7 linked regions of the Callithrix jacchus genome follow. The protein of the gene in region 3 purifies or fractionates together with the protein of the main gene of each other region. This does not show direct contact. Links are inferred from orthologs where the notes say so. Each region holds a gene or a part of one and is shown on either strand. Other genes may lie near its edges.

Region 1 (3,855 bases), on a different chromosome or scaffold from region 3:
CTGCCTTTCTCTTGCCTCCTACATTGCCCCCACGATTGCCCCGAGATCCACGGGAACCACGGCCTCTCTGCTGTTGTGCAGGACCCCCTCTGCCACCCCTAGAGCCTCTTGGTGGTCCCAAAGGTGCCCCCCTCTGTGAATAGCCAGCTCTACCTCTTGGAGGTGGTGCTCCCCTCCCCCTTGGTGGTGGTGGAGCACCTCGCCCTCCCCTTCCTCCTCCTCTTCCTCTTACTGCATAGCCATCATCATAGCCGTAGTAGGGATCTTCATAGCCTCCACGATAGTCGTGATAATCATAACCATAGTAATCATCATAGTAATCTTCATAGCCATAGTAATCTGGAGGGTAGCCATATCCACCTCTCCCCCCACCACGACCCCGACCTCTAATTGGAGGTGGCATTCGAGGAGGAGGGTGGTAGTAATAATCTTCATACCTAGCAAAGGAGGGAAGGGAGAGAAGAAAAAACAAATTAGTTTGCTTCAAGACCCCTGATTTTATTAATCTGATCTCCATTATTGTTATTCCTTATCCAAAGAGATAAATACTAAAATGTAGACTCACGCAGTGCTTCTGGAGGCCTGTCTAGCAGCTTGACGCTCTTTCCTTTTCTTGTCTGGTGGCTTGGCTAAGACTATTTCAATTTCTTCCCCTTCTATTTCTTTGCCATTCATTTCATCCATTGCCTATATAAAATTAGAAAAATTAATTTACTTTACAATGTTTTATAATAAAACATAACATACACATGTCATTAATATACTTAATAAACAATTTACTTCACAATTATTTTAAATGGCAAAAGGTAAATCTAGCCAGAAAGGTAAACGCGCACACGCGCACACACACACAGAAAAAACGTTTCCCTTGACCTAATCTTTTTATATGTAAATTACATCAAGAACAAAACCAACCTCCTGATATTATATTTTAAAAGGTAAAATAGTTGCCATCTATTGTTTCTCCTTAATTCCAAATAACCAACTCCTTAAAAGATAAGCCATACTAAAGAAAGAAGCAAATCCATACCAGGGAAAAACGCCAGTATTAATGCAAACCAGACAAAGATTAACTTTTCAGGATTAATTTAAAAATAAACGTGTGGCATTCAACATACAGGTCTTACACTGTTCTTATATAAAAATTTCAAGGATCTGAAGCACAAATGAGGTTACTGAGTGAGATTATCTTTAAAATTCAACGAGATACCAACACAAAAAGCCCAAGTTCCCCTACAATGCTTAACCCAAAATGTACTCTGCCTGAACAGTTAAAAGTAGAGAGCCAGAAAAGGCCTGGACTAATGAAGTAATGAAGACTCAAGCAATTACGCAGAAAGCAGTAATCAAACATTCCACGTTCTTGCCCTTTGTTCATGCTGTTCCACCTAACAACCTCTGCCATTCATCAAAAGGTTCAGATAGTAAGAAAATGTCACCTCCTCGTAATTTATTTTTTGTTTCCCTCTACCTTTCCCCACTCTGGGCGCACATACTAAAAATGTTCTATTTATAAAGAACTATCAGTGATTTATAAGTATCTAGAAAAAAAACTGAAGACTTCAATTTTCCCTTTTACCACCTCAGCTTTACATTTCTTCCGTTAAAGCAACTCAACAACTTTACAAAAGCTTCCTGGCATAAATCAAAAAATGAAACATCTATTGTCTGCCCTGACCATCCTAGTGACTTCCCAGTTCCTGGACTAGATATTTTGTAATTTCATAGGCTTCTTTGGCAAACCATCCTAAAACAATCGAGACAGGAGGAATATTTGGAAAGCATAAATTATCAGTCATCTGCATTCTATACCAGTGGAAATTTCAGAAGCCACACATTAACAGTTAAGAGTGTAACAGTATAACAGGTAAGACTCCATATTTCAAAGCCAGGTTATTACTGAGTTTATGATCTTGGACAAGTTATGAATTTTATTAACAATACCATTCATTAATTAGCTACCATAAATGAGCAAGCCAATTAATTCTAAACTAGTCAGAGATTCTATAAAGCCTGTTTAAAATGCAGTAGCCTGGGCAAAAAACAAAACAAAAAAAATGCCCAAATTAGAGGTGCAGTACCCTGTCGACCAAATATGCAGAGAAAGAACCAAGCCTGTGTCACTGAGCATTCTGGATCTATCTTCCTAATAACATAAAAAAGATCTTAGTAATGTTTTGTCTTCCTTCCCATCCCTTCAAGGAAGGACAGATGAACAAGAAAAAGAAACTGAAATTTTCACCCATTAAAGATGGATCTAAACTGCGGAGCACAGTGGCTCAAGCCTGTAATCCCAGCATTTTGGGAGGCTTAGGTGGGCAGATCATGAGGTCAGGAGTTCAAGACCAGCCTGACCAACACAGTGAAACCCTGTCTCTACTAAAAATCCAAAAATTAGCTGGGCATGGTGGCATGTGCCTGTAATTCCAGCTACTCAGAAGGCTAAAGCAGGAGAATCACTTGAACCCGGTAGGCAGAGGTTGCAGTGAGCCAAGATCATGCCATTGCACTCCAGCCTGGGTGATAGAGCAAGACTCCACAAAAAAAAAAAAAAAAAAAAAAAAAAATATGGTCCATTGTCAATAGAAAGCAGAGCAGGTTTTGTGTTCCAGATAGTATATGAAAATACATTTTTCACACTTCATTGTCATCAAAGACTATTATACACAAGAGCTAACTCTAACAATTACTGAAATCAGTAAAACATAGCCAATGTTATTTTAACTCTAAAATAATTAAAGTAAAACTAATCATACCATCACAATGTATCTACCCAATCAAACACTGTATACTGTGAGAGTTATGTGCACCATTCAGTTTCCTTCATAGGTACACAAACTGAGGTAAACTAAGTAGTTATAATACATTCACTACCTATTTAGTGTTTACAGCAGCTAATTTTTATGCCTTGTAATACTTCCAAGGCATCATGCTATCAAATCTTACAAAACAATACAGAGATTAAAAATAGCTTGCCTAAAATCACCAACTCAGTAATAATCTGGCTTTGAAATATGAAGTCTTATCTGTCATAATACTACCACTTTAGAGATTAAATAGAAAGTTCCAGAGTTCAGCAAAAGCTAACAACCAATTTTATTTGTTTTTAAAGTTATTTTATGTGTTTAGCAACTTTTGAAAACAAAATTCAAATATCAAGAACCAAAATTCCAAAATTTCTACCTTAACGGCTGCTCCTCTGTCTTCAAAATGAACAAATGCATAATCTTTCAACTTCTTCACTCTTTCAAGTTTTCCAAATTCAGAAAATGACTTTTCCAATATTTCTTCTGTGACTGTAGTAGCCAAATTTCTCACAAACAAAACTTTTACCTAGTAAGCAACAAATAAACGGAACTGTAATTGGCTACTTAATTCTACCTGAAAAGTGTTTCTTCCTGTCTTCAAAGCATAGGCTTTTCCCCTCTAAAACATTAAGTGCTAAAAGTGCTGTTACAGGTAGTATAAGAAACTGCTAGGAAAATTATACTAATAGCAGTCATCAATTTATAAAAACTATTGGTTACTGCCTTCTCCTATGTTGTCATTAAAGCACCTAACACTGAGTAGAACCTTCAAGAAACCAACATATAATTATTATTTCAAGTTAATTAACAAATTTGACATGGTCCCCAAGTCCACTTCAAAATAAGCTTTTCTTTCTTCCCTCTAAAACCAAGTAACTTTTAAAAGTTCATATGAAAAAATAAATAAGCAAGAATAACCAGGGGGAAAAAAAAGTAAAATTTAGAGACTGGCCCTACTGAATATAAACAAACATAATCCTTAAATCACTAAATCAGGTACTGTTAATCAGAAAAAAAAAAGATAAAAGATGGTCCACACTTCACACTA
Region 2 (3,855 bases), on a different chromosome or scaffold from region 3:
ACCTATGGCAGCAGTTCAAATTTGACCAAGCTAAACGTAGAATGAAGATGTTCTAAACACAGCTAGGACTCAGCAAGTCTAACACACTAAAATCATGTGATTACATTTTAAAAGAAAATGCACAAAAACCAAATAGAAGTTTTGAGATATTTTTCATTTGAAGGTAATCTTAATGCTATTAAATTCACAAATGCTAATTTAAATACCCAGTCCTATTTACCTAAAACACACATTGCAAACACACATATATCTATTCTCTCCACATGTCAGTGCCCATTCATATTATGGTTTGGAAATGGGGAGAATAGATTCCCCTTAAACTGCAAGTCAGCAGGTGTTTCTTTACAGTTAACTTTAGCAAAATTCATACAAAATAGTAATTAACAATGATCTTCTTTACTTGTTAACTCACAAGGAAACACCTTCAAAACTGCATTTTGTTAAAGTTTCTGTACTAAAATGTAGAAAAACTGAACTACACAAATATTGAAAAGTTAAAAATTCCTTAATTTTTTATTCCTGGTACCACTACCACAATTTACAGGGCAATATACCTGATGTAATGAAAAGAAAAAGAAAAAGACAAAGCTACAACAGATAAAAGACCTCAGGAATGTACATCTAATTGACACTACATTGCATTAATCAATAGCTGCACTTTTTGCAAACTGTGGCTATGACAGTCCTGAACAAGAAGGGTTTCCTGTTTAAGCTGCAGTAACTTTTCTGACTATGGATCATCGCTCCTTCTGTGGCAGATTTTTACAGTTCCTCTAATGCATTTGGGACGACTGTCTCAAAGTAACCTGCAGCTTTCCTGACAACTCCTCGCTCTCTCTCCTGCTAAGAACTGTAGCCTGTTGAATAATACAGGATAAAAAAATTATTACACTCAGTGAACAGTTCCACATATTCTTTATCATCATGACAAAAATTTAAAGATACCTACCCTTTTCTGCTGCTTTTAGAACCTTCTGCTACCATATCCACCACTTCCACCACCAGATCCATAACCACCTAAAAATATATATAATAGATCCATAACCACTAAAAATATACATAATATCTTAAAAGAAGTATGCATTTTTTTTAAATTAAAGACTCTTAAAGAATGATTTAAGAAGTACTTACCACCATAGGGACTGCCCGAGCTTCTTCCACCAAAACTGCCCCCTTTCATGGGTCCATAATTTGATTGCTGTTGTCCACTATAATTTCCAAAATCATTATAGTTCCCACCACCACCATAGTTACCTGAAATCAGAAAGGGTTTATGTGTGGTTTACCCACACAATAATCATTTTCCCCTTTTGATGTAACTATTATTGTTTCACAATTATGGTAGCATGCTTACACACATCACTTTGGTAGCACCACTTGGAATAACTGATGTCAGCATATTGAAAGACCATCAACATTTTGTTTGTATTAGATGGTATTCTCTAGGCACATGTTCTTTCTACCATTAACACCATTGAAATTGTCAGTGTTCCACTCACTATGATGCTGCTGCAGTATAACATTTAAAACAATGTGAAGGCATTCTAACTTGTTAAACCTTCGCTCATCTGTCACTGACATGTTAATTAGGTCCAACAAAACAGGACACTCGTAAGGATCTTAACAGTATCCTGGAGTAATGACCTACATTAAAGCCTGCAACATACCTGTGACGTATTGACACAAAGTACTTTTTCTCTTACACCTAGATGGCAACCTGCTCACTTCAACTTGTCTCAGTATTCAAACAATTTACTCCCATTTGTCCATTTAAAAGTACTTAAAAGTTCAGTTTAAAAGTACCTAAGAGTCAAGGTAAAATTCTGGCAATATATAAACTCCCTATCTTTTACATGTATTATTACATACTGGCAAATGACCACTTTTAACTTCTCAACTAAGAGTTGAGTGTATTTTAGTAAACAATCAGCAAAGTCAAGAAAATTTGAATTACCCACCATTTTATTATTTTCTAATATTACAGAACACACAATTTTACCAACTGCTAACTTTTAACACTTGTCAAATATATGTCATGGGAACTGTTAGCAACACTGAATAGTTCACATTTAAATGAAAAAAGTGAATGCTTACCACCACCAAAATTTCCTCCTTCGTTGTAACCATCATATCCTCCACCACCGCCACCATATCCACCACCTTGGTTTCCATATCCTGGTCCACCACCACCATAACCCCCTCTACTACTATAACCAGGACCACCGCCATAGTTGCCACCTAAAAAAAAAACAACAAAAAATAAGAGCACACAAAAACATAAATGTGTAAAGAGTGAAGTTACTCAATTCTGGTGATTGTATGTTTAAGAAACCAGATCTTGGTCTGTTGCCCAGTCTCGAGTATAGTGGCATGACCACAACAATGCAGCCTTGAACTCCTGGGCTCATGCCACTCTCCCACGTCAGCCGCCCGAGTAGCTATACTATGGGCATGTGCCACCAAATTCCCCTATTTTTTCTAGCAACATGGTCTCCTGATGTTGCTCAGACTGGTCTCAAAATCCTCACCTCAAGTGATCCTTCTGCTCCAGCCTCCTGAATAGCTAGCATTACTCAATTCTGGTTTTATATTACATTTAAGCCACTGGCAAATAAGCCAATGAGTTAACACTCTGAAACCTGGTAATACCAAAAAATAATAGAATAGCAAGTATCTAGAGCTAGTAAGAATGAAAATAAATGCTTCAGTTTTCATTTTATCAATCTGCACTAAGAAAAATACAGCCCCAGACTTCAATTCTAGCTCAACTCCTAGTACTCTCTGAAAAAGACCAGTTAATGTTAAATCTCCAGGGGAAAAAGAGTCTCTACTCTTCTATGGCATTAGTTTGGAAATACGTCTTAACCATTAAGTCATTCAAGTTTTAATTAAAATTAGAAAGGTAGAATACTTAATTTTCCATAAGGTAAAGAAAGTTATTAAAATAAACCACCTACCATCACCAAATCCATTATATCCACCATCACCTCCTCCATAACTACCTCTGCTGCCACCACCTCCACCACCATAACCTCCTGAGGAAAAACAAGATATGAATTAAAATCATATATTTAACTTACCAAAACGTTAGGTACATATGTACTTAGAAGATAAACATCCTACCTCTTCCACCAAAGTTTCCACCACGGCCAAAATTACCTCCACCACCTCCAAAGTTTCCTCCGCGACCCATAAAATTGCCAGATCCACCTCCACGACCTTTAACATAGGCAAGGGAGATTTTAAGAATCTTACAGCCACCACTAAAATCTTTTGTGTACATGTGTATGATACTACTCACCTCTCTGTGATCCAGCAGACTGCATCTCTTGTTTAGAAAGGGCCTTTTTCACTTCACAATTATGCCCATTAATAGTGTGGTATTTCTGAACTACATTTTTTTTTTAATCAAACAAAACAAAAAGTTATTTTGTGTTTGGAAAAGCGCATATATATGATACCCTCTGTCATTATGTAACCCATTAAGACATAATCAGGTAGTGACTCTGGGAATGAAGGAGCATTCTGAGATGTTAATGTTTATTCCTTTACCTGGATACTGATTACAGAGTTATTGACCATACACTATAAAGGCTGTTACATGCAACAGAAAATTACAAGCAATTTGGCAAATTTAGTTCAAAACAGAGAAACCACTTTTTTCTCATTTAAGTTCCCATAAATTGCTACTTACCAACAATTTTATCAACTGTATCATGATCATCGAAAGTTACAAAAGCAAATCCTCTCTTTTTTCCACTCTGCCTGTCTTCCATAACTTCTATGGTTTCAATCTTGCCATACTTTTCAAAGTAGTCTCTCAAATTATACTCTTCCGTATCTTCTTTAATACCA
Region 3 (4,629 bases):
CTCTTTTGAGTCCTTGTTACTCATGTCTCCATCACAAATCTTTTATCAATTTCTCAGAATACTATCAAGTCTGTACTTTGTGACTTTATGGCAAACATACTTCGTTGTGAGTTGTTTTGGTCTGGTGCATTTGTCAGTTTTACTTTACCAGCAGCGACATTACGGTTTCTCATTCAAATCCAAATTGCAGGCCCAATACTAACCTGAAAGGGAATCAGTGTTACCAAGCTAAAATGCTCCAAGCTGCACAGCTGCAGCCAAACCCAGTGTTGCCCCCTGCAAGGTGGCTTCCAGTGTACTTGGTTCTTGTTTTACAGGTCGTTTTCCATTACCAACGCTAAATTCAGATAGTAAGTCAACACTACAAACGTCTTACCAAAAGCTGTCAATTTCATCCAAATAGAATTTCATCAGTCTAAACTAATTTCTTTTCCCCAGTCTAATGCTGCGAACAAGAACATTCTGATAGAAAATACTCAGGAAAACTGTGTACTGGAAAAAAATTTACACAGGCAAGAAAACTTCCCTGGGCTTCAGCGTCTTCAACTGTATAGAGAGCCATATCAAGAACTAGACTAGCAAACACATCTCAATTACCAAATCTTGATTAGGAAAACCGAAATTAAGACGTGACACTTTAACTTTCCGAAGCAGAATGCTCATTTTCAAGGAAACACCGAAACTGTAAACAAGAGGTTACACTTCAAGATATTCCAAAACATTACAATTTGTCTAATCACTCGGGAGATTTTTCTCAAGATTCAAGAAGAAATCCCATCTATGCCAATTTATCCTTTCCAAAAGATACCCAGACAGGGAGCAGTGGCTCACGCCTGTAATCCCAAGCACTTCTGGGAGGCCGAGGCAGCCGATCATTTCAGGTCAGGAGTTCGAGACCGGCCTGTCCAATATGGTGAAACCCCCGTCTCTACTAAAAATACAAAAAGATGGCCGGGCGTGGTGGTTCACGCCTGTAATCCACGCACTTTGGAGGCCAAGGCGGGCGGATCACCTGAGATCGGGAATTCAAGACCAGCCCAACCAACATGTTGAAACCCCGTCTTAAAAAAGAAAAAGAGTACAGTAAGTTAGCCAGGCATAGTGACACACGCCTGTAATCCCACCTATTCCGGAGCCTGCGGCAAGGAGAATCGCTTCAACCCGAATCGCAGTGAGCCGAAAACGGAAAAAAAAAGAAGAGCTGGTGTTCAAAGGCAGGTAAAGAAAACAAGTCTACCAGATCGGCAGCACTCCAAGAAACAGGAAGGCGGCGGGGCTTTCGAAATTTCCATTGCGTAACAGCGGTCGGCGGGGCGCGAACAGCACAGCGGGAACTGCAGTCATCCGCGCCACGCCAGGGGGCGCCCCGAGTCCCGCCCGGCCCGCCCCAGCCCGGCTGCCCGCCAGCCCGCCCGCCAGCCCGCCCGCCCAGGCCTCGAACTCGAACTCCCGCGTTCTAGTGGTAACTCACCAGAAAAAAACCTCTGCACTTCATCGGCCGAGCAAGACCAGGGCAACCCCCGGACCTTCACCACGAATCCCTCTCCACCTTCGGTGCCCAACATCATTGTCTCTTACGCGGTCCGACGTCGAAACAAACTGCAAGGCGGGGAGGAGGACCAGACCTGAGAGCGCCCATTAAGCTGTGCTCCGCCCCCGATGTACCCCCCCGGGCCCGCGCCACCCGCCCTACGGAGCAAAAACCGGGCGGATGCACCCACCCCGGCGACTCCAACACCCAACACTTCCTCGGCCAGCGAGCGGACCCCCAAAGCTGCTCTGGGGAGCAGCTGTCGGCGCTCCGAACCCTGGGGGCGGGGGTCGAGAGCCAGCGTGGAGACAAGGAAATGGCGGCGGCCGCTTCCGCTCCGCCTCCTCCGACTTCTCACACAATAGAGTCCGCGCGGCCTGCAGGCCTCGGCGGCGGTGCTGGGATTCAGCGAACAACTTTCGGTTCTCGATGGCTGCCCGCAGCTAGCCAAGATCCCCGCAGCCCTCCCAGAGGTCGGGAGGAAAACAATCCTAGCAAAAACGGACCCCACAGCGGGGGTCGCTGGACAGCTAGGGAGGACCGACCGCAACTCACCCTGACACCCAACTCCAGCGTGGGTAAGACGAAATGGCCAACAGGCGCTTGCGCAACCTAAATAAGGCCCTTTGTGCGAGCTCTGCGCACGCGCAGCCAGCTGCTCGCCCCGCCCCCTTGCGTCACAAAGAGCTCTGACGCATGCGTAACTTCAAGAATCAGCCTACCTCCGGTTGGTAGATTATTACACGCCTGCGTTTTGGACTCAGCACCCCCACCCATTAACCCGCCGGGCTTTTTATTGCGCCTGCGCTTGATCGCGAATATTGAACTTGGAGCCTCAGCGGTTTATAATTGTTTCTTGCGCATGCGTCTTCCTTGAAACCGTTCTCTAGCGTTACCCGCCAACGTGGGGGAGGGGAATGGCGCCGCCAGTTCCCTATGGGGCTGTATAGGAGTCCCGACCTCTGGGTTGTGATGAGGTGGGCGTCTTTCTACCCCTTACCCCCAGTCTTACCGGGGCGCTCCTGGCCGACCTGAAAGGAGGAGCGCGGCCTTCGGGTGTTCCCACTCCCCGCGCCGCCTGTCTCCCCTTTATCCCAAAGCTGGCCGGAGCTGATCAGCTGCAGATTGCCGAGCGTCTTGGGAACTATAGGGCTGCGGACGTCCAGCACCCGAAGCCTCCCGGATGGTGCCTGGGGCACGCCCCAGCCGTGTGTGCCTCCACTTCCCCTTACCTGCCGTCGTCGGGCCTAGGGCGCTGGTCGGCGCGGGGTTCCCGTGCCTGTGGCTCGCGCCTGTACCCCGCTTTTGCCTAACGAACTTGCATCCTTTGTACCTCTTGACCCACCTCCGGGTCGGCGGGCCTGGAACGCCCTGGGGCCCTGGCACGAGGACGGGTCGCCGGGTACTGCCTCGCGAGCGCGATCTCCTCTACGGGTGCGTGCCGGCCTCTGTGCTGGGATAGGCTCCGGCTGAATCATCCCAGCGCTGAATTGGTAACAGTGCGTGATTCCCCAGGTGGAGACCCTGCATTCGAGGCCCCTGGGTCACCCGGTGTGCACATAGGCTGCGAGATGAGTAATGTTCGTGGTTTCTAGCAGCACTGCCCAAAACCGAAGACTCCAGAGCTTCCCAGGCCTCCCTCTGTCTAATCTGGCTGCCCTCTTCACCCCAGCTCTCGTGGACACAGGCAATAAATTAACCATAAGGTAGTGTTGGACCCTGCCGCAGGGCTAACTCAGGTAGTGCAGGCCTGAGTGCCACCCTCGGAAGATTCGGGCAAAGCATGTTTCCAAACCCAGTGCCACAGAGGCCGAATCCAGTTTTGACAGGTTTGAGGAAAGTAGAGAGGACATCCAAAGAAACACAGGAGCCCAGAGCTAAGGAGGGCCTGATCTTCAAAGGCCACTTCGGCCTTGGCAAGGGTGTTAACTGCAAGTCCTGTATAAAGGAAAAGTCTTGCTGGATGTGAGGGAGACGCAAATAGAGAGCAGGCAGAGGGAATGATGGTACATGCCATGCACTCTGCTGCAAACAGAACTAGAAGCACATACCTGTGGTACCATTTCAGAAGGCACTGTGGCTGAGGTCATCAGAAAGAGAGACTCCCACCAGGTGCAGTGGCTCAGACCCGTAATCCCAGCACTTTGGGAGGCTGAGGCAGGTGAATCACTTGAGGTCAGGAGTTGGAGACCATCCCGGCCAACATGGTGAAACCCTACCTCTACTAAAGATAACAAAAATCAGCCAGGTGTGGTGGCATGTGCCTGTAATCCCAGCTACTCAGGAGGGCTAGGCAGGAGAATTGCCTGAACCCAGGAAGCAGAGGAAGCGGTGAGCAGAGATCACACCACTGCCCTCCAGCCTGGGCAACAAAGCAAGACTCCAACTCAAAGAAAACAAAACAAAAATTAGCCAGGCATGGTGGCGCTTGCATGTAATCCCAGCTACTTTGGAGGCTGAGGCAGGAGAATTGCTTAAACCCAGGAGGCAGAGGTTGCAGAGAGCTGAGGTCACGCCATTGCACTCCAGCCTGGGCAACAAGAATGAAACTCCATCTCAAAAAAAAAAAAAATACTAGTGAGGTAGAATAAATTTCATACATTTATAGCCAATTCTCTTTTACATAAATTGTCCAACTTACGTAAAAAAGGTTTTTTAATTTTTATTTTTATTTTCCTTTTTTTTTTTTTCTGAGACATGGCCTCACTCCGTCACCCAGACTGGAGTGCAGTAGTGCAAACATGGCTCACCACAACCTCTACCTCCTGGGTTCAAATGATCCTCCTGCCCCAACCTCCTGAGTAGGTAGACCACAGGCATGTGCCACCTTGCTCAGATAACTTTTTTATTTTTTTGTAGCAATGGCATCTTACATTGTTGCCCAGGCTGGTCTTGAACTCTTGGGCTCAAGGAATCATCCCACCTCAGCCTCCCAAAGAAACGTACTAGGATTACAGGTGAGAGCCACCATGTTTGGTCATGAAAGAAGGTTTTTTTGTTTGGTTTTGTTTTTGAGACAGTCTCACTCCGTCATCACCCAGGCTGGAGTGCAGTGGTGCAATCTTGCCTCACTGCAACCTCTGCCTCCCAGGTTCAAC
Region 4 (4,434 bases), on a different chromosome or scaffold from region 3:
GGACGTATCTCAGCTACTTGGGAGGCTGAGGCTGGAGAATCACAGGAACCCAGGAGGCAAAGTTTGCAGTGAGCCGAGATAACAAAGCGCTACTTTGTGTCACGTATCTTCTGAGTACTCACATACTTAACAGCTGCACTGCAGCCCAGACAACAGAGTCTCAAAACGAACAAACAAAACAAAGCCAGGCATGGTGTCTTTGCATTCCTATAATCCCAGCTATCCTTCCAACCTGGGAGGTGGAGGTTGCAGTGAGCTGCAGATCGCTCTAGTGAGACTCCATCTCAATCAATCAATCAAGTGTGCCTTAAAATAGATGAAATACTGTATTATTATATTATTATTAGAGGGCTGGAGCCAGAACATGTTAGCATTTTGTGCCTCGAGATTCAAACCGTAGGTCTACCATTTACTCCTTAGGTGACTTTTGTTTTGTTTTGTTTTAAGAGATGAGATTTTACCATATTGGCCAGGAGGTCTTGATCTCTTGACCTTGTGATCCGCCCGCCTCGGCCTACCAAAATGCTGGGATTACAGGCAGCAGCCACTGAGCCTGGCCAACTTTTTTTTTGGCGGGGGGACAGGGTCTCACTCTTTTGCCCAGATCGGAGTCAAGTGGGGCGATATTGGCTCACCGCAACCTCTGCCTACCTGGTTCAAGCAATTCTCCTGTCTCAGCTTCCCGAGTAGCTGGGATTACAGGCGCACGCTACTATCACCCTATCCTTGGGTGACTTTAAGCAAGATACTTGATCGCTCTGTGCCTCAGTTTCCTCACTCGCAGAATGAATATCAATAGTTCCTGCCGCACAAAACTGTTGGGGCTATTAAGTATGTGAGTACTCAGAAGATACGTGACACAAAGTAGCGCTTTGATTGCTATTATTAGAACAAAGTTATTGTTTCCAGGTTTGGAGGTGGGCTAGCGGAGGGAGGAGAGGACGCAACCGGCAGCCTTTCAGAAAAGGAGTCCGGGTCTTACCCTGCTTCCCAAGTCTATTTGGCCCGGGATCCCGAGCCCCGCCCCCTCCAGGCCCCGCCCCACCCTTTTTGGCCGAGCCCCTGCGCTACTCTCGCGCGCTTTGAAAGTGCGCGAGCTCCGAACGAGACCCGGGCTGGCGGTTGGTCGGCCGAAACCATCTGCTACGTTATGTGGGGGGAGGTCAGCGCCTACACAGCCACATTTTTTTTCGATTTTCAGCTTTTCAGGCCTAGTTCCTGGTCTTATTTTAGCTCTCGAGCTTCTCTGTAGGCTCGAATTTCGAGAAGGCAGCCCGAGTCCCTGGGAAGAGGGTCATCGTGGCTCTCCTCGGCGCCCTCCCCCTCTTGACAAGCGCTCGGTGGGAGAGGACGCCGGCGGGCAGAGGGAGGAGGCGGCTCTAGCGCCATTTTGTGGGAGCGAAGCGGTCGCTGGGCTGCGCTTTGGTTCGTCGCTGCCTCGCTGTCCCTGTCGGGCTTCCCAGCAGCGGCCTAGCGGGTGAGTCGCGGAGCCTTCTCAATGAGGACGCCCTGGGTGTCTCGGCTCCCGCATTGGGGCAGCCCGAGGCGGACGCAGCGGCTTCGGCCCCTGCCCAGGGAAATGAGCCGTGAGGCCGGGCCTCGTCCTGCCCGAGCGGACTCGCTCGGGAGCGTCGTTAGGTCCTGCCGCAGGAAGGCCGCAGGCGCCGAAAGCGGGACCCTGCCCGCGCTGCCGCGCAGCCTGAGGCGAAGGTTTGCCTGGTCCTGAATAGTGCCGGCGCCTTCGGTACTTTGCAGTCCGGGGACGCTGCCAGCTCGGGCCTTGGTGCTCCTGCGCCCCACCCCGGGCCGCGCTAAGAAACTCCTCCCAAGGCTGGCACGCGCGGGTTTCTGGGAGGCGAAGGCCGGCACCGCCAGGATCTGTCGCCGCCGGCCTTGCGGCTCGGGCTTGTAGAGCCCCCGGAAAGCCCCAAAATGAGGAATGGAGAGGACTCTTCTGCTGTTTTTTACACCTGGTTCACTGCTTATATTCAGTCTTCAGGTTCAGCTGATGCATCACTTAATTGGGAAAATCGACCTTAACCCATCATGCCCATGCCTCAGCCTGTTAGGCTCCTCTCCTGACTTCAGGATTACATAACGACTTCCGCGACTGTCATAAAATAGCTACTGTTATTCTCCTGCATACCCCAGCTTGTAACCAGCAAACCACGTTGTACTCAGCAGTTACAGTTGCAATACCTGACATATCATAAGCCCTCAGGGAAAGTTTGTTGATTGAATGAACTGGCGAGGCATCAGATTTTGATAGGAAATCACTACCCTTACCTTCCCCTCGTCATTTTTCAGGGATACTAGTGCATATACGAATCCAGAGAAGAATTTTTCTGGAAGTTAGAACACTAACGTGGTGTAGGTATTAGCATTAGAAGGAAACCATTACTCTGGCGTGAATGTTCATTCATTTCTCTTTTCCTTTTAAGAAAAGTAAAAGATGTCTGAATATATTCGGGTAACCGAAGATGAGAACGATGAACCCATTGAAATACCATCGGAAGATGATGGGACCGTGCTGCTGTCCACGGTTACAGCCCAGTTTCCAGGGGCCTGTGGGCTTCGCTACAGGAATCCAGTGTCTCAATGTATGAGAGGTGTCCGGCTGGTGGAAGGAATTCTGCATGCCCCCGATGCTGGCTGGGGAAATCTGGTGTATGTTGTCAACTATCCCAAAGGTTTGTTACCATTTGGTTTTGTAATCGTGCTGAAGCGTAGTCAGGTGTGTGTCTCATCCATGGGTCATGGCCTCTTTGTGGCGGCAGGTCTCCTGTAACTTAAGTATTTTCTTGAACTTCACAATTAGATAAGTTTGGAAAACCATGAGTCTAAATTTGTGGAAACTGGGGATCATATATCATTTTAAAAGAGAGAACGATGTATTTAAAAAATATTTTAATAAGCTTTGCCCAGTTTCTGCCACGTAAGGAGTTACTAAGAATGCTTGGGACTTGTATCAGTGTTGTAAGTAGATTCTTCTACAGTGCTCCAGTATTTGGGTTTGTTCATTGTCCTTTTGGTCTTAACATCATTCATTCAGGAAATCTGACTTCATTTTTTTCCTTAAATAAACAGCAGTTGCAGTAGCCAAATCTTGAATTAGTGCAGTTCCAATTACAATTTTGAGTTTGTTCATTGTCCTTTTGGTCTTAACATCATTCATTCAGGAAACCTGACTTCATTTTTTTCCTTAAATAAACAGCAGTTGCAGTAGCCAAATCTTGAATTAGTGCAGTTCCAATTACAATTTTGAGGTTCTAGTCTTACCCTTTTTGCTTCATTTTATCACTGATGTTCTAAATCTGAGAAAAGAAAGCATGATATTTTAAAAATGTGCCAAGGAAATAGCTAATTTCAGCAGTATGAATGTGTGCTATTAGTTGATCTGTGTTGCTTTTATTATAACTTGATATTGCAACAAAGTCCATCAAATTTGGTCAGTATGCAAGATGTTAATTTACATGTCTAGAAAAATTTTAGGGCCTGGTGCAGTAGCTCACACCTGTAATCCCAGCACTTTGGGAGGCTGAAGTGGGTGTATCAGCCAAGGTAAGAAGTTTGAGACCAGCCTGGCCAACATGGTGAAACCTGGTCTCTATTAAAAACACAAAAAATTAGCCAGGCTTGGTGGTGGGTGCCTGTAATCCCAGCTACTCCAGAGGCTGAGGCAGGAGAATCGCTTGAACCTGGGAGGCCGAGGTTGAAGTGAGCCGAGATTGCACCATTGTACTCCAGCCTGGGCAACAAGAGTGAAACTCCATTGCGAAACAAAAGAAAAAAAAAACAAATTAGCCAGGCACCTATAGTCCCAGCTACTCTGGAGGCTGAGGCAGGAGAATTGCTTGAACCTGGAAGGTGGAGGTTAGTGACCTGAGATCATGCCATTGCACTCCATCCTGGGTAACAGAGCAAGACTCTGTCTCAAAAAAAACACAAAGAAAAAAGAAAAATTTTAATAATGTTAACTCAGGGTTTTTAGTATGCTGTTTCTTGAGCAATTGGGTATAGAAATACTTACCCAAATTTAAAATGTCAGGCTGGGTGCACTGCCTCCCAGCACTTTGGGAGGCTGAGGCAGGCAGATCATCTGAGGTCAGAAGTTCAAGACCAGCCTGACCAACATGGTAAAACCCCGTCTCTATTAAAAATACAAAAATTAGCCATGTGTGGTAGTTCACACCTATAGTCTCAGTTACTTGGGAGGCTTAGGCAAAAGAATTGCTTGAACCCAGAAGGTGGAGGTTACAGTGAGCTCTTGCCACTGCTCTCCAGCCTGGGCAGCAGAGCGAGACTCCATCTCAAAAGAAAAAAAAATGTCATTTAATATCTCTCCCCAGGCTGGGCATGGTGGCTCATGCCTGTAATCCCAGCCCTTTGGGAGACTGAGGTGGATGGATCAGCTGAGGTCAGGAGTTAAGAGAT
Region 5 (3,855 bases), on a different chromosome or scaffold from region 3:
GTCAGACTCTGTGCACAGCACCTGGGACAGGGTAAGCATTAAGTCAAGGGCTGGCCAGGCATGGTGGCTCATGCCTGTAATCCCAGGACTTTGTAAAAACAAAAACAAACAAACAAAAAAACACCAAGTGCTGTCATCATTAGCATTGATAGAATTTTGTTTTTTTGAGACAGGGTCTCACTCTATTGCCCGGGCTGGAGTATAATGGCCCAAACATGGCTCACTGCAGCCTTGAACTCCCAGGCTCAAGCAATCCTCCTACATCAGCCTCCAGAGCAGCTAGAACTGCAGGCACAAGACATCATATCTGGCTAATGTTTTTTGTTTGTTTGGTAGAAATGGAGGTCTCCTTATGTTGCCCAGGCTGGTCTCAAACTCTTAAGACTCAACGGATCCTTCTCCCTCCTTGGCCTCCCAAAGTGCTGGAATTACAGGCGCTTGCCACCAAATCCAGCCCATTTACAGGATTATGTGGCCCCCCGACAATAGCCCAGGGAAGGCTGTGTACTGGGACTGGCCCATGGAGTGGGTACGAGAAGTGATACAACTTTCTTGAAGTATGAAATAGGAACAGAGCTGTACACACAAGGACATGAATTGTATCTAATCAGTACATTTAGAATTTGGTAAACAGATGCATCTTAAATGCCTAACAAAAGGGGAATGGCTAGTTTTTGAGGCCATTAAGAATGATGTTCATTCCTTGAAGGATTTTTAAAAAAGAAAAAAATGATGTTCAAAGAGAGGTTTTCATGCGACGGGAAAAAGCTCGCAAAATAATGTGAAGTGAAAAGGGCAGGGTATCATAACACTCATACCATAAAATCTCAATGATGAAAGTTTGTGAGCATGAAACAGGCACTTAGCACATTAAAAAGAACAGATGACCTCCGAACCTCTGCAAGCAAACTTATTTGTAGATGATGGCATTAGGAGAATTAAATTTTTTTTTTTACTTCTTAATTTTCTAGAACAAGTGTAAATAACTTACACATACAAGAAAAATATTGTTTTAAGAAAAAAGACACGAGCATAGCTCTGAGAATCAAAGAGTCCCAAAGGCCGTTTATCTTTTATGACAGCTCTGGGTGAGAGGTGGAACTTACTCAGCCTCCTTCAAGTACACTCGGAGGGCCAGGCTCAGTGGCTAAAAAAGTTAGCCAGGCATGGTGGCATGTACCTGTGGTCCCAGCTACTCGAGAAGCTGAGGTGGGAGGATCACTTGAGCCTGGGAGGTCAAGGCTGCAGTAAGCCATGATCGCACCACTGCACTCCAGCCTGGGTGACAGAGCGAGACCCTGTCTCTAAAGAAAAAAAAGAACACTTGGTGGCAGAGTGCACTCCCCAAGAAGCACCTAGTGTCCTTTTCTGCTGGAAGAAAAGCCTCCTTTTCCCATATTCTGGCCTCACTTAAGAAGATGGAATGTTTCTGAGATTTAGGTGTACTAACTTAGCCTCTCTGACTTCAACCTAGGTCACACCAACACCCCTCACTTCACACTCAGAGCAACTTTTCAGCTCTGAGTGTAACTCTGAGGAGCTGAGACAAAGTGGCCACTTGCCCCAAGGCTACTCACGCAGCAAGTCTATGTGTGTCTCCCCTCTGTCTTGGCAGCAAGGTGGCCACCAATACATTCTGGCTCCACTCACCTCACATTCTGCCTTGCTCTTTGGTCCAACGGTGCCCCGAATCCGCTCACTAAGGGGAAGGTGCTGGATGAAGGTAAACCCTGGGAGGACAGAACAGTAGGGCTCTGCCCTCTGTCCGAAGTTGAACTCCACTGCGCAATTCTTCACCAGGACATGAGGATAGAGGGCCTGACCCCCCAAGGCTTCCTTTTGGATTCGGAAGGCAATGCCCATCCACTTTCCATTCTTGGTAAAGGAAAGTTCCACGTCATTTCCACATTCAAAGTCCTAGGAGAAAAAGCCAAAGGAATATGATTGCCAACTCTCGCTGTAGGCACTGGGAGTCACATGTGGGTGAGAACAGATGCAGGGAGTAGAATATGGACAGCTTTCCAGATTTAATTGCATCCTTCCCCAGCATACAGGTAAACTGGGCAGCATCAGTGAACATCTCAGAGAACGTCCAGCCCAAAGCCCTCCTTGCCTAAGACCCCAAAATTGGTGAATGTGAAGCAGGTAAGCAAGAGATTTTTTTTTTTTGACACAGGGTCTCACTCTGTCCCCCAGGCTGAGTACAGTGACATGGCTAGGGCTCACTCCAACCATAAACTCCCAGGTTCAAGCAATCTTCAGACCTCAGTCTCCTGAGTAACTGGGACTACAGGCATGTTCCACAACACCTGGCTAATTTTTAAATTTTTTTTGTATAGACAGGGTCTTGTTATGTTGCCCAGGCTGATACTGAACTCCTGGACTCATGTGATCTTCCCACCTTGTCCTACCAAAATGTTGGAATTACAGGCTCCAGCTACTGCACCCAGCTTGAAGCAGGTAATTTTAAGAAGCTCCAAGCATTTGAGTCTTGTGCCTAGACTGAGATGAAGACGAAGGAAAAGGTGATCCTGTCCTGTCCTGAAAACTGATGAGAAGCAGGGTGTAGTGGCTAACGCCTATAATCTCATCACTTTGAGAGGCTGAGGCAGAAGGATCACTTGAGGCCAGGAGTTCAAGTACAGCCTGGGTAACAGAGAGAGGCCCCATCTCTTCAAAAACAAACAAAAGAAACCCCAAAGGGCATTCTATGAACATAACAGATGAGGGAAAGCCCCAGCAGGGCCTTTTCGAGCTGAGCTCAGCTTGTTGAACATGTTTCCTGAGTTCTTTCTTTCTGATATACATGCCTGGGTGATCTGGGACCAATGGAGCTTAAGGACCAGTGGAGAATGAGACAAGGACACTGTCATAATTCAGTAAGATGATCTACCTAGAAGCAAGTTTCTGAGATGGTTTCTCAGTTGTGTGTATAAAAGCCTAGCAGTGACGCAGAACATAAGGTCAGGTTGGCAGGGGCATAACAGATGAGGGGCAAGTAATTCAGGAACAGCTGAAAAGCCATGCAAGGACCACATTCATTTATTCTGTAACAACTACTACTGAATTGCTAAAGTGAGTAATTAAAGATCCTATTTTAGAAGGTGGATGGACAGCTTCAGTTCTACCATTTACTAACTTGTGGCCTTGGTTAAGTTATTTCACCTTGTTTCTTTATCAAAAGAGGTGGGTAATACTATTTTATACTGCCTATGTTTATTCTAAGTGCTAAATGGGATAGTACATTTAATACACAGTGAGTACACAGGAACATGAGCTATCACTGCAAGATGCCAGGTACTGTGCTAGAAGTTAGAAGCTAGGACTGAAGTGATGGGGAGGGGACATGGCCTACCTCAGCATTTGAGGGACTCTGCAGGAATGTGGACTTGATGCTGGTGGCAGAGCAGAGTGTCTGACTCATTTTGAATAGGGGAGCAGACTGCTCAAAACTGTATTTTGGAAACATCGCTTTGTCTGCAGGATATGTAAAGCTCTTTTTTGCTTAGTGTTTTTTTCCTTTTTAAAATTTATATTTTTAAAACGTTTGTTAAATATTTTTCTAAATACCTATCTCAGAGACAAAAAGGCTCAAAACTTGAGATTAGATAGCAGACTGAAGCAAAATACAAGGTTCAGTTTCTGATATAAAAGTGTAAGTTCTTTATTCAGGAGACCACCTTGAGAATTGCCCTTTAAGAAGTGACTGAAGCCAGGCGCAGTGGCTCAAGGCTGTAATCCCAGCACTTTGGGAGGCCGAGGCAGGTGGATCACGAGGTCAAGAGGTCAAGACCATCCTGGTCAACATTGTGAAAACCCGTCTCTACTAAAAATACAAAAAATTAGCTGGGCATG
Region 6 (3,855 bases), on a different chromosome or scaffold from region 3:
AGCTTAGGCTCCAGTCAAGGGAAGGGAAGGTCACTCCTGAGTTTCCATGCTTTCTTCTTCCTCTCCTTGAGGTGGTTCTTCTGTATTCTCCTCTTCTTCCTCTCCTTCCTTCTTCTCTGGTGGCTTCTCATAAGCCTTTTCGGAAGGTGTTACTATCACTCCATCCCAGGTAGATATTTCAGAAGCAAGATCTAGAAAAGAGAAAAAGGTGAGTTAGACAAGTAGCCCAGCATAAAAGTCATTATTTACACTGTGGAAATACTAAGGCATTTAAGTAGTGTACAGCTTCTTTGTAGAGCAGATTATAATACAAAATCCCTGACCCACAATGGTCACTCACAGCTGGCATCACCCTCCTGGCCAAGGATCTTCCTAAAGCCACCATGTGAGAGGATTCGGACGAGAGTCTGAGCTGTATAGCAGACCATGTCCTAAAGTAGAGCAAAAGTGAGAGTAAGTTAGCAAGGAAAATCCAAGGGCCTTATTTGACTAATATCCTTGTGAAATAAAGATTAAGACAATTTTTAAAATCCCATCGTCTTTCGGAATTCCCAAACTCCTGACCCCTAAAGATCATATTCCACTTTGCCTCTGACCAGGAGTATTAAAGAGTGAGGCAAAACAACCCAGTTCATCTGTCCCAATACCTGCTGTTCTAGGGTCATGACTGTGTGTACTCTGAAGTTGCCACTCTCACAGGGGTCAGTGATACCCACTGAACCTGGCAGGAACAGTCCCGCAGCCAGAATCTGCAAGCAGCGCCTAGAACACAAGGAGGTATGAGGTATTAAAGGAATACACAAAACATCTTACAACCAACCCTAAACCCACAGCAGCATGCTGTACCTGTATGCAACGTTTAGGGCCAAAGGCTGTCTGGTGGGGTTGTTCATCACAGCATAATGACCCTGGAAAATAATAAATCCAGTAGGTGTGCCACCAAAATGGCAATTCTGGCAACTAGAACTTTATTTTTTAAAGATAGGGCCTCACTTTGTCCCCCAGGCTGGAGTGCAGTGGCACAATCATAGCTCACTGTAACCTCAAACTCCTGGGCTCAAGCAATCCTCCCACCTCAGCCTGCTGAGTGCAAGCCACTACAACTGGCTTATCTTTTTTTTTTCTTATAGAGACGGAGTCTCGCTATTTTGCCCAGGCTGGTCTCAAACTCCTTGTTTCAAGTGATTCTCTGGCGTCAGCCTCCCAAAGTGGTGGGATTACAGGCATCAAACTAAAACCTTAAATTGTCACAAGGAAAACTGGTCATTAATGCCTAAGTCTAGCTAAAATTTTCATGTTCAGAAGCAATTCTGAAATGGCTGCTCACTCATTTCTCTCTACTACCATGGTGAAATGGTAGCAGTCATGAGAAGAAAAAGAACACTAACTCAGTAACTACTCATTTAATTGAATATAACAAAAAAATAAACTTTGAACTTTTTCTTTCTTTTTAAAAAACAAGTTTCTCTGAGTCATATAATTTTGAATTTTTATTGGATTACTTGTCTACCAATAAAATTTATTTTAGCCGGGCGCGGTGATTCACACCTGTAATCCCAGCACTTTGGGAGGCCGAGGCGGATGGATCACAAGGTCAAGATATCGAAACCATCCTGGTCAACGTGGTGAAACCCCATCTCTACTAAAAATACAAAAAAAAAAAAAAAAAAAAATTAGCTGGGCATGGTGGCACGTGCCTGTAATCCCAGCTACTCAGAAGGCTGAGGCAGGAGAATTGCCTGAACCCAGGAGGCGGAGGTTGCAGTGAGCCGAGATTGCACCATTGTACTCCAGCCTGGGTAATGAGCGAAACTCCACCTCAAAAAATTAAAATTAAAAAAAAAAAAAATCTATTTTAAGCTTTACCAAATTTCAGATTCTGGTAAATTCCAGAGTTACTTCTACTGCTAGTAAATATAGATTATCAAGGAACTCCAGTTGCCCATCTTTACTTACTAGTAGGTCAAGGATCCAGGGTGTTAGGGGCTCAAAGCCAGGAAAACGAATCCTCAAGTCTTTCAGTAGTCTGATGAGAACTTTAACTCTGAAAGTTAAGAGTGACCCAAAGGTTAAAAGCAATACGATCATGTATTTCCATGCCTAATGTAGAGTTGAAGCTGACTACACTGTTTCCAGAACTATACATTCTCTGCTTTCTCTCAATCTTAATTTGCTTACTTAAGGTAAAAATCAAAATCCAAACAAAACAGTCTGGGGTATCCTGCTATTCACTGCTGTTAGAAAGGTTATCTTAATCCAAATGGTCAGGGAGAGACTCACGTGGACTGAGAAGCATTTTCCTCAAACCAGCGGGCATGTCGGATGGCTGCTAAGGCACTCTGCAATACCTTGATATCCACTATAAGACAAGCATGATAGGCCAGGATGAAACATTTTCATTAAATAAGCTACTCAGTACTACTGCTACAGTCTAAAAACTTGGAAGGAGGACAGGATAACTCTGCAATTCTTGTCATTTTTTTGGGATGTAGTCTCGTCATCCAGGCTGGAGTACAGTGTCGCAATCTCCGCTCACTGCAACCTCCGCCTTCTGGGTTCAAACGATTCTCCTGCCTCAGCTTCCTGAGTAGCTGGAATTACAGGCACCCACCATCATGCCAGCTAAATTTTTTTTTATTTTAGTAGAGACGGGATTTCACCATGTTGGACTGGCTGCTCTCGAACTCCTGACCTCAGGTGATCCACCCAGCTCAGCCTCCCAGAGCACTGGGATTACAAGCGTAAACCACTGCACACAGCCAACTTTTCAGTTCTTTAAGTCATCCCATGTTCCTCATATCAGCAAATCACATGCCTAAAAATCACTAGAACCATGCAAGATACATGATTTTCTCCAAAAGCCTATCCTCCTCCTCCATAAATATTTTCTCAGTCCTTTTTTTTTTTTTGAGATGGAGTTTCGCTCGTTACCCAGGCTGGAGTGCAATGGAACCATCTCTCAGCTCACCGCAACCTCCGCCTCCTGGGTTCAGGCAATTCTCCTGCCTCAGCCTTCTGAGTAAAATAGTTGGAGGATGTAAAAAGGACTGAGAAGCCAGGCACAGTGGCTCATGCCTGTAATCCCAGCACTTTGGGAGGCCCAGGCGGGTGTGATTACAGGCACGCGCCACCATGCCCAGCTAATTTTTTGTATTTTTAGTAGAGACGGGGTTTCACCATGTTGACCAGGATGGTCTCGATCTCTTGACCTCGTGGTTCCATCCGCCTGGGCCTCCCAAAGTGCTGGGATTACAGGCGTGAGCCACTGTGCCTGGCTTCTCAGTCCTTTTTAAATCCTCCAACTATTTTCTTGATCACCCCATCTGAATATTCCACTAGCAAATTTGGATAAAAAACTATTTCCAAATTACAGAGGGAGAGAGCAAAGTTTAGAGTAAACTTGAGTTCTTCAATTCCCAGAGAGCTGCATGTGGAATAGCAACAAGCTAAGTAAACTAAACAGCAACCATACCATGTTTTTAATATCCCCTAAATTTTCCAGCAACAGAAAAAAAAGAACTAACAATGGAGTTCTGGGTCCAGTTTTCGAAGATTGGGTGGCACTGTTGTAATGAGAATCTTCACTGTAGCATCAGAAGAACTGATTTCAAAGCCAGTTTCATTGGTCAGCATAGTTAAAACTGAAAGAACAGAATAAACAAAAAATATAACTCACATTTCCATTAGATGACCAAAGTTAAATCCAGGGTAGGGAGGGAACAGCAATTTCTTAAAACAGCAAAAAGTCCAGAATGAGAATTTAGAATACAGAGCTTTAGAAATAAAGGAGATCAAACAGATTTTGAACACCTGAGGCCCCTGCCAAAAACTCCCACAACTTAAAACTCTGCACTT
Region 7 (4,355 bases), on a different chromosome or scaffold from region 3:
TAAAGCCAAATAAAATAAATGGAAACAATTACAAACCAATAAACATTTTTGTCTTTTTTTGTTTTTGAGACAGGGCCTCAATACACTGCCCAGGCTAGAATGCAGTGGCTACTCTCAAGCACAATCATAGCTCACTGCAGCCCCAAACTCCTGGGGCTCAAGGGATCCTCCTTCCTCAGTACTGTAGGTTTGCCACAATGCCCTGTAAAGAACTCAGACTCCCAAGAGTTTTGAGAATTATACAGTGGTTCAGGGAAAGGAAATATGGAACAGTTTCAACATTTCCATGCTGCTCAGGTTTAACAAAAGCAGTATTCAGAGCCGGATGCGGTGGCTCACACCTGTAATCCCATCACTTTGGGAGGCTGAGGCAGGTGGATCATGACGTCAAGTGTTAGAGACCAGCCTGGCCAGCATGGCAAAACCCTATCTTTACTAAAGATACCAAAAAAAAAAAAAAAATTAGCCAGGTATGGTAGCACACGCCTGTAATCCCAGCTACTCAGGAGGGTGGGCTCAACGAGAATCACCTCAACCAGGAAGGCAGAAGTTGCAGTGAGCAGAAACCACGCCGCTGCACTCCAGCCTGGGTGACACAGCGAGACTTCGTCTCAAAAAGGAAAAAAAACAACATTCAGAAAGTAGAGGAAAAGATGACTCGCTGAGAGAGACTCACTGTTCTGGGTCTGGCCGTAAGAAGAACCATAGCTGCCCTGGCCATAGCCTGAAGTATCTGTGGACTGGCCGTAACCGCTGTAACTCTGCTGTCCATAGGGCTGACTGCTCTGCTGGGAATAGCCCTGTCCCGGCTGGGTGGGGTAGGCCCCATAGCTGGAAAAAAGTAAAACCAGCGTGATCAGAAAAAGAGGCCTTGACCACCGTCGGCCTCTACAAACTTTGGAAACGCAAAAATAGCACTCACCTTTGGGTTGCTTGTTGAGTATAATCTGCAAAAGAAAAATACAATCACATTATCTTCAGCCAACACTCTGAAAGAGTTGAATTAAAGCTAAATTCCTTAACTCAAGCACTGATGGGTAAACAGGACCACGTTGGCCAGGCAAGGTTGTTCACACCTGTAATTCCAGCACTTTAGGAGGCCGAGGTGGGTAGATCACTTGAGGTGAGGAGTTCAAGACCAGCCTAACCAACATGGTGAAATCCGTAAAAATACAAAAAATTAGCCAAGCATGGTGGCGGACGTCTGTAATCCCAGACTGAGGAAGCTGAAGCAGGAGACGCATATGAACCTGGGAGGCAGAGGTTGCAGGGAGCTGAGATCACGCCATTGCACTCCAGCCTGGGCAACAGGGCGAGACTCTCTCAAAAGAAAAAAATTGGACCATGTTGCAAAAAAGGTCATACAATTCCCCCATGAGACAAGAGCAAGCTGGCATATCAGCCAAGTGTTCTCATAATAAAAGAAAACAGAAGAAAATGCAAGTTTCTACAGAGTCCCAAAAGCCTTAACCATTGGGAAAACCAAGGTCTCGGTGGACAGCCACTTTCTGCAAGCCCAATTCATGTCAGTGACTGTTGCCCTAAAACACTGCACAGTACTTCCATCCATTCTATAAAAAAGGCCTTATCCCCAGGAGTCAAAATAGACTAACTTGCCCGAAGTCGCAGAACTACCAACCGGCACAGGTTTGAATTCAAGCAGTGTTCAGACTGTGGCCTCCGTTCTCTCAACCCAGACCCACAGAACGAGAATGTCTCAAAAAAGGCCATTCTTCATTGTGACCAACCCCGGAGATTAAGTGGGCTTTTTAGTGAAGTCACAGGATCCAAAGCCCTCGGAATCAAAAAGATCATCCAAGTGCTCGCTTTAGGAGGCGAAAGTCGACTGATACTCGATTCCCCAGTCCTGTCGCTCCAGATGGTTCGTTTTCTCACCTAACCTGCCTTCCCGCTCCGGGGGACCAAAAAGCAGCAAAAGCGGTTCTGAAACGCCCCACTGAAGATACACGAACAAGATCAACTCATCCACCTAGTACGGGAAACGCGGCGCTTCCCCCGCAGGAAAAGGGAAAGGCCCAGGAGAGGGAGTGGCCTCCGATGGAGATTATTCTCCTTCCCCACCTCAGAAGCAAGAAATTTAGGCCGGACGCGGTGGCTCACGGCTGTAATCTCAGCACTTTGGGAGGTCGAGGAGGGCGGATCACCTGAGGTCAGGCGTTCGAAATCAGCCTGATCAACATGGTGAAACCCCGTCTCCACACACACACACACACACAAAATTCAAAAATTAGCCAGACGCCTGCCAGCTACTCAGGAAGCTGAGGCAGAAGAATCACTTGAACCCAGGAGGAGGTTGCAGTGTGAACCGAGATCGTACCACTGCACTCCAGCCTGGGCAAGAGAGAGACCCTGTCTAAAAAAAAAAATTAGGCGGGAAAAACTCTCCAGCCGGGTCACCGATACAATACGTTGGTCCCGACCACCACCTCCAAACCGTTAAGCGGGAGCGCGGCCGCGATCCCGAGCCTCCGCCCCCGCCGCGTGGCAACCGAGGCGGGAACGGAGCAGTCCCGCCCCTTCCCGAAGGACCCCAGAGGAACAAGGCGTACACCGGACGCGCGCCGCCGAGTCCTCCGCGAAGGGTCTCGCGACAAAAAGCTGAGCCAACACGAGACGGGGAAGGGGTATCAGCGCCACGAGGGGGGGAGGGGCCCGCAGAGCGCGTGCGCGCCGCTAGTGCCCGGATGCAGCACTGCGACAAAGCGGGCCCGAGCGCGGGCCGGGAGTGGGGGTAGGCGAGGCCACGGAGACCAGGCGTTTCCACCCTCACCTCACGCTTCAAACCACCAAGAAGCGTCCCTCCCCACGCCCACCTCAAACAAACGGACTGGGAAGAGAAGACTTCCCGCCCAGCGCGCTAGGCGCCAGAGGAGCGAAACAAAATGGCGACACCAACCTCCCCCAGTCACCCCTCTCCGCGGCTTCCCGCCACAGGGATGCGAGAGAATCCCACACGCGATCGCCGCCCCGGTCCCACAGAAAATGAAAAGCCCAACTAGGAGGACTCGGCTCGGAGCGCCGCCGCCGCCGCCTCGCGCCCTTACCTACCGTTTGATGCCATGTCCGCGCACGCGCGCACAGGCAAGCAAGCAAGGAAATTCCAACTCTACACAACACCGACGCCTCGAGGACTGAGCAGCCCCGCCTCCTGCGTCGAAGCTTAAGTCTGCCCTGCCGCCTACGCACCGCGCAGGCGCACACCAAATGCGGAAGCGCATGGGGGAGGCAGGAATGCACTCCCCCCACTTCCTAGGGTACGTAGAGGATCCGAGCAGGTAGAAGGGAAATAAGTTAACTAAAAACATGTGAATACTATACATAATCATACTTTCTGGAGAAAGAACCTCTCTCTCCTCTACAGGATTAGCCCATGCTCTAAGTCCACCCCCATGAAGGCACAGTGGTACGGCCTGAGTGCCCGCTGGGGGCGGGGCGAGGGGCCCGGACAGTTAGGGATCGAACTGGAGTCACAGTCGGGAGTCGCGGGGTGGAATCGTGACTACTGTGGCCGGTCCCCTTTGCTGGGCCCCGCTTTCACCCAGGATGACGAGTTCCTGCCCTCCGCCGCCTTGCCACTGTGTGGGGCGCCTCGTCCTCCCGACCCCAGCCTCCCTCCTCCAGCAGCACACACTGAGCCTCCCTCTCCCTTGGGCCCTGGTGTTGACTTAGTCGTCTTTCGGGGTTGCCTGGCCTTTCGGCCTTTCTGGGGTTGGCGCATTGTGACGTTTGACCTGAAAGACAGCAGGTCATTTTGGCCTGGACCCCTGGGTGCCGGGCTGGTCCAGCACTGGGCTCGCGGGAGCCGCCGGGCGGGACCGCCCAGGCCATCTTTGGGACCTGAGAGGGTTGACCTCAGATGAAGGATCCGCAGCCTTTTCTCAGGGACCTCCTTTATATTTTTCTGAAACCCTACCAAGGAACCAGTGGCGATCCCAGAAATAAAATGTGCACAAGGCTTAGGTGGTTTCAAAATGCACAGATAATTTATTTCTCACCACAGACTTAGGAAGGAAGTAACGATATCTCCGTTTTCTGGATAAGAAAAGTGAGATTCAAAGACCCAAGTAATTGTACCTGATTACAGGGCAGCTAAGAGGAGTCGTGATTCGAATTCAGGTCTCGTGACTGCAAAACACTCCTCTTTTTGGTGACCTGAATGCTAGTGTTTGGTCGCCCTTTCACTTCCTGTGAAAGCAAAAGCAAAAAGAAAACTTCAAAGTAACGTGCAACTTGAACTTTCATCAGCATTGCCTGGAGAAGGCAATTTGAAACTTGAACAAAACAAGACAAAGGACGTTAATTCCTTTTTTTTTTTTCTGAGACGAGTCTTGCTC

Evidence for each region.
Region 1: the proteins of HNRNPH1 (region 3) and HNRNPR fractionate together in Homo sapiens (co-fractionation; 3 studies listed by BioGRID and IntAct, with this or other methods). This does not show direct contact. The link is inferred for Callithrix jacchus from reciprocal best matches to the Homo sapiens genes HNRNPH1 and HNRNPR.
Region 2: the proteins of HNRNPH1 (region 3) and HNRNPA3 fractionate together in Homo sapiens (co-fractionation; 3 studies listed by BioGRID and IntAct, with this or other methods). This does not show direct contact. The link is inferred for Callithrix jacchus from reciprocal best matches to the Homo sapiens genes HNRNPH1 and HNRNPA3.
Region 4: the proteins of HNRNPH1 (region 3) and TARDBP purify together in Homo sapiens (affinity purification with western blotting; 3 studies listed by BioGRID and IntAct, with this or other methods). This does not show direct contact. The link is inferred for Callithrix jacchus from reciprocal best matches to the Homo sapiens genes HNRNPH1 and TARDBP.
Region 5: the proteins of HNRNPH1 (region 3) and HNRNPUL1 fractionate together in Homo sapiens (co-fractionation; 3 studies listed by BioGRID and IntAct, with this or other methods). This does not show direct contact. The link is inferred for Callithrix jacchus from reciprocal best matches to the Homo sapiens genes HNRNPH1 and HNRNPUL1.
Region 6: the proteins of HNRNPH1 (region 3) and ILF2 fractionate together in Homo sapiens (co-fractionation; 3 studies listed by BioGRID and IntAct, with this or other methods). This does not show direct contact. The link is inferred for Callithrix jacchus from reciprocal best matches to the Homo sapiens genes HNRNPH1 and ILF2.
Region 7: the proteins of HNRNPH1 (region 3) and FUS purify together in Homo sapiens (affinity purification with mass spectrometry; 4 studies listed by BioGRID and IntAct, with this or other methods). This does not show direct contact. The link is inferred for Callithrix jacchus from reciprocal best matches to the Homo sapiens genes HNRNPH1 and FUS.

Annotation. Positions count from the first base shown.
Region 1 is NC_133508.1:60,068,113-60,071,967, forward strand, and holds part of HNRNPR (heterogeneous nuclear ribonucleoprotein R), read right to left. Parts: intron 3,334-3,855; coding exon 3,184-3,333; intron 688-3,183; coding exon 566-687; intron 438-565; coding exon 1-437. UniProt on the Homo sapiens protein: Component of ribonucleosomes, which are complexes of at least 20 other different heterogeneous nuclear ribonucleoproteins (hnRNP). hnRNP play an important role in processing of precursor mRNA in the nucleus.
Region 2 is NC_133507.1:52,156,294-52,160,148, forward strand, and holds part of HNRNPA3 (heterogeneous nuclear ribonucleoprotein A3), read right to left. Parts: coding exon 3,695-3,855; intron 3,392-3,694; coding exon 3,302-3,391; intron 3,220-3,301; coding exon 3,124-3,219; intron 3,036-3,123; coding exon 2,958-3,035; intron 2,239-2,957; coding exon 2,095-2,238; intron 1,255-2,094; coding exon 1,132-1,254; intron 1,018-1,131; coding exon 965-1,017; 3' UTR 950-964; intron 858-949; exon of another isoform or gene 1-857. UniProt on the Homo sapiens protein: Plays a role in cytoplasmic trafficking of RNA. Binds to the cis-acting response element, A2RE. May be involved in pre-mRNA splicing.
Region 3 is NC_133503.1:72,027,450-72,032,078, reverse strand, and holds the start of HNRNPH1 (heterogeneous nuclear ribonucleoprotein H), read right to left. Parts: upstream 2,964-4,629; 5' UTR 2,877-2,963; exon of another isoform or gene 2,764-2,876; intron 2,126-2,763; exon of another isoform or gene 1,722-2,125; intron 1,600-1,721; 5' UTR 1,569-1,599; coding exon 1,472-1,568; intron 1-1,471. UniProt on the Homo sapiens protein: This protein is a component of the heterogeneous nuclear ribonucleoprotein (hnRNP) complexes which provide the substrate for the processing events that pre-mRNAs undergo before becoming functional, translatable mRNAs in the cytoplasm.
Region 4 is NC_133508.1:48,886,301-48,890,734, forward strand, and holds the start of TARDBP (TAR DNA-binding protein 43), read left to right. Parts: upstream 1-1,392; 5' UTR 1,393-1,477; intron 1,478-2,441; 5' UTR 2,442-2,452; coding exon 2,453-2,690; intron 2,691-4,434. UniProt on the Homo sapiens protein: RNA-binding protein that is involved in various steps of RNA biogenesis and processing.
Region 5 is NC_133523.1:36,572,507-36,576,361, reverse strand, and holds part of HNRNPUL1 (heterogeneous nuclear ribonucleoprotein U-like protein 1), read right to left. Parts: intron 1,918-3,855; coding exon 1,651-1,917; intron 1-1,650.
Region 6 is NC_133519.1:14,084,367-14,088,221, forward strand, and holds part of ILF2 (interleukin enhancer-binding factor 2), read right to left. Parts: intron 3,642-3,855; coding exon 3,525-3,641; intron 2,360-3,524; coding exon 2,281-2,359; intron 2,045-2,280; coding exon 1,957-2,044; intron 909-1,956; coding exon 847-908; intron 763-846; coding exon 648-762; intron 432-647; coding exon 341-431; intron 192-340; coding exon 31-191; 3' UTR 1-30. UniProt on the Homo sapiens protein: Chromatin-interacting protein that forms a stable heterodimer with interleukin enhancer-binding factor 3/ILF3 and plays a role in several biological processes including transcription, innate immunity or cell growth.
Region 7 is NC_133513.1:30,693,884-30,698,238, reverse strand, and holds the start of FUS (RNA-binding protein FUS), read right to left. Parts: upstream 3,155-4,355; 5' UTR 3,083-3,154; coding exon 3,070-3,082; intron 948-3,069; coding exon 923-947; intron 832-922; coding exon 677-831; intron 1-676. UniProt on the Homo sapiens protein: DNA/RNA-binding protein that plays a role in various cellular processes such as transcription regulation, RNA splicing, RNA transport, DNA repair and damage response. Binds to ssRNA containing the consensus sequence 5'-AGGUAA-3'.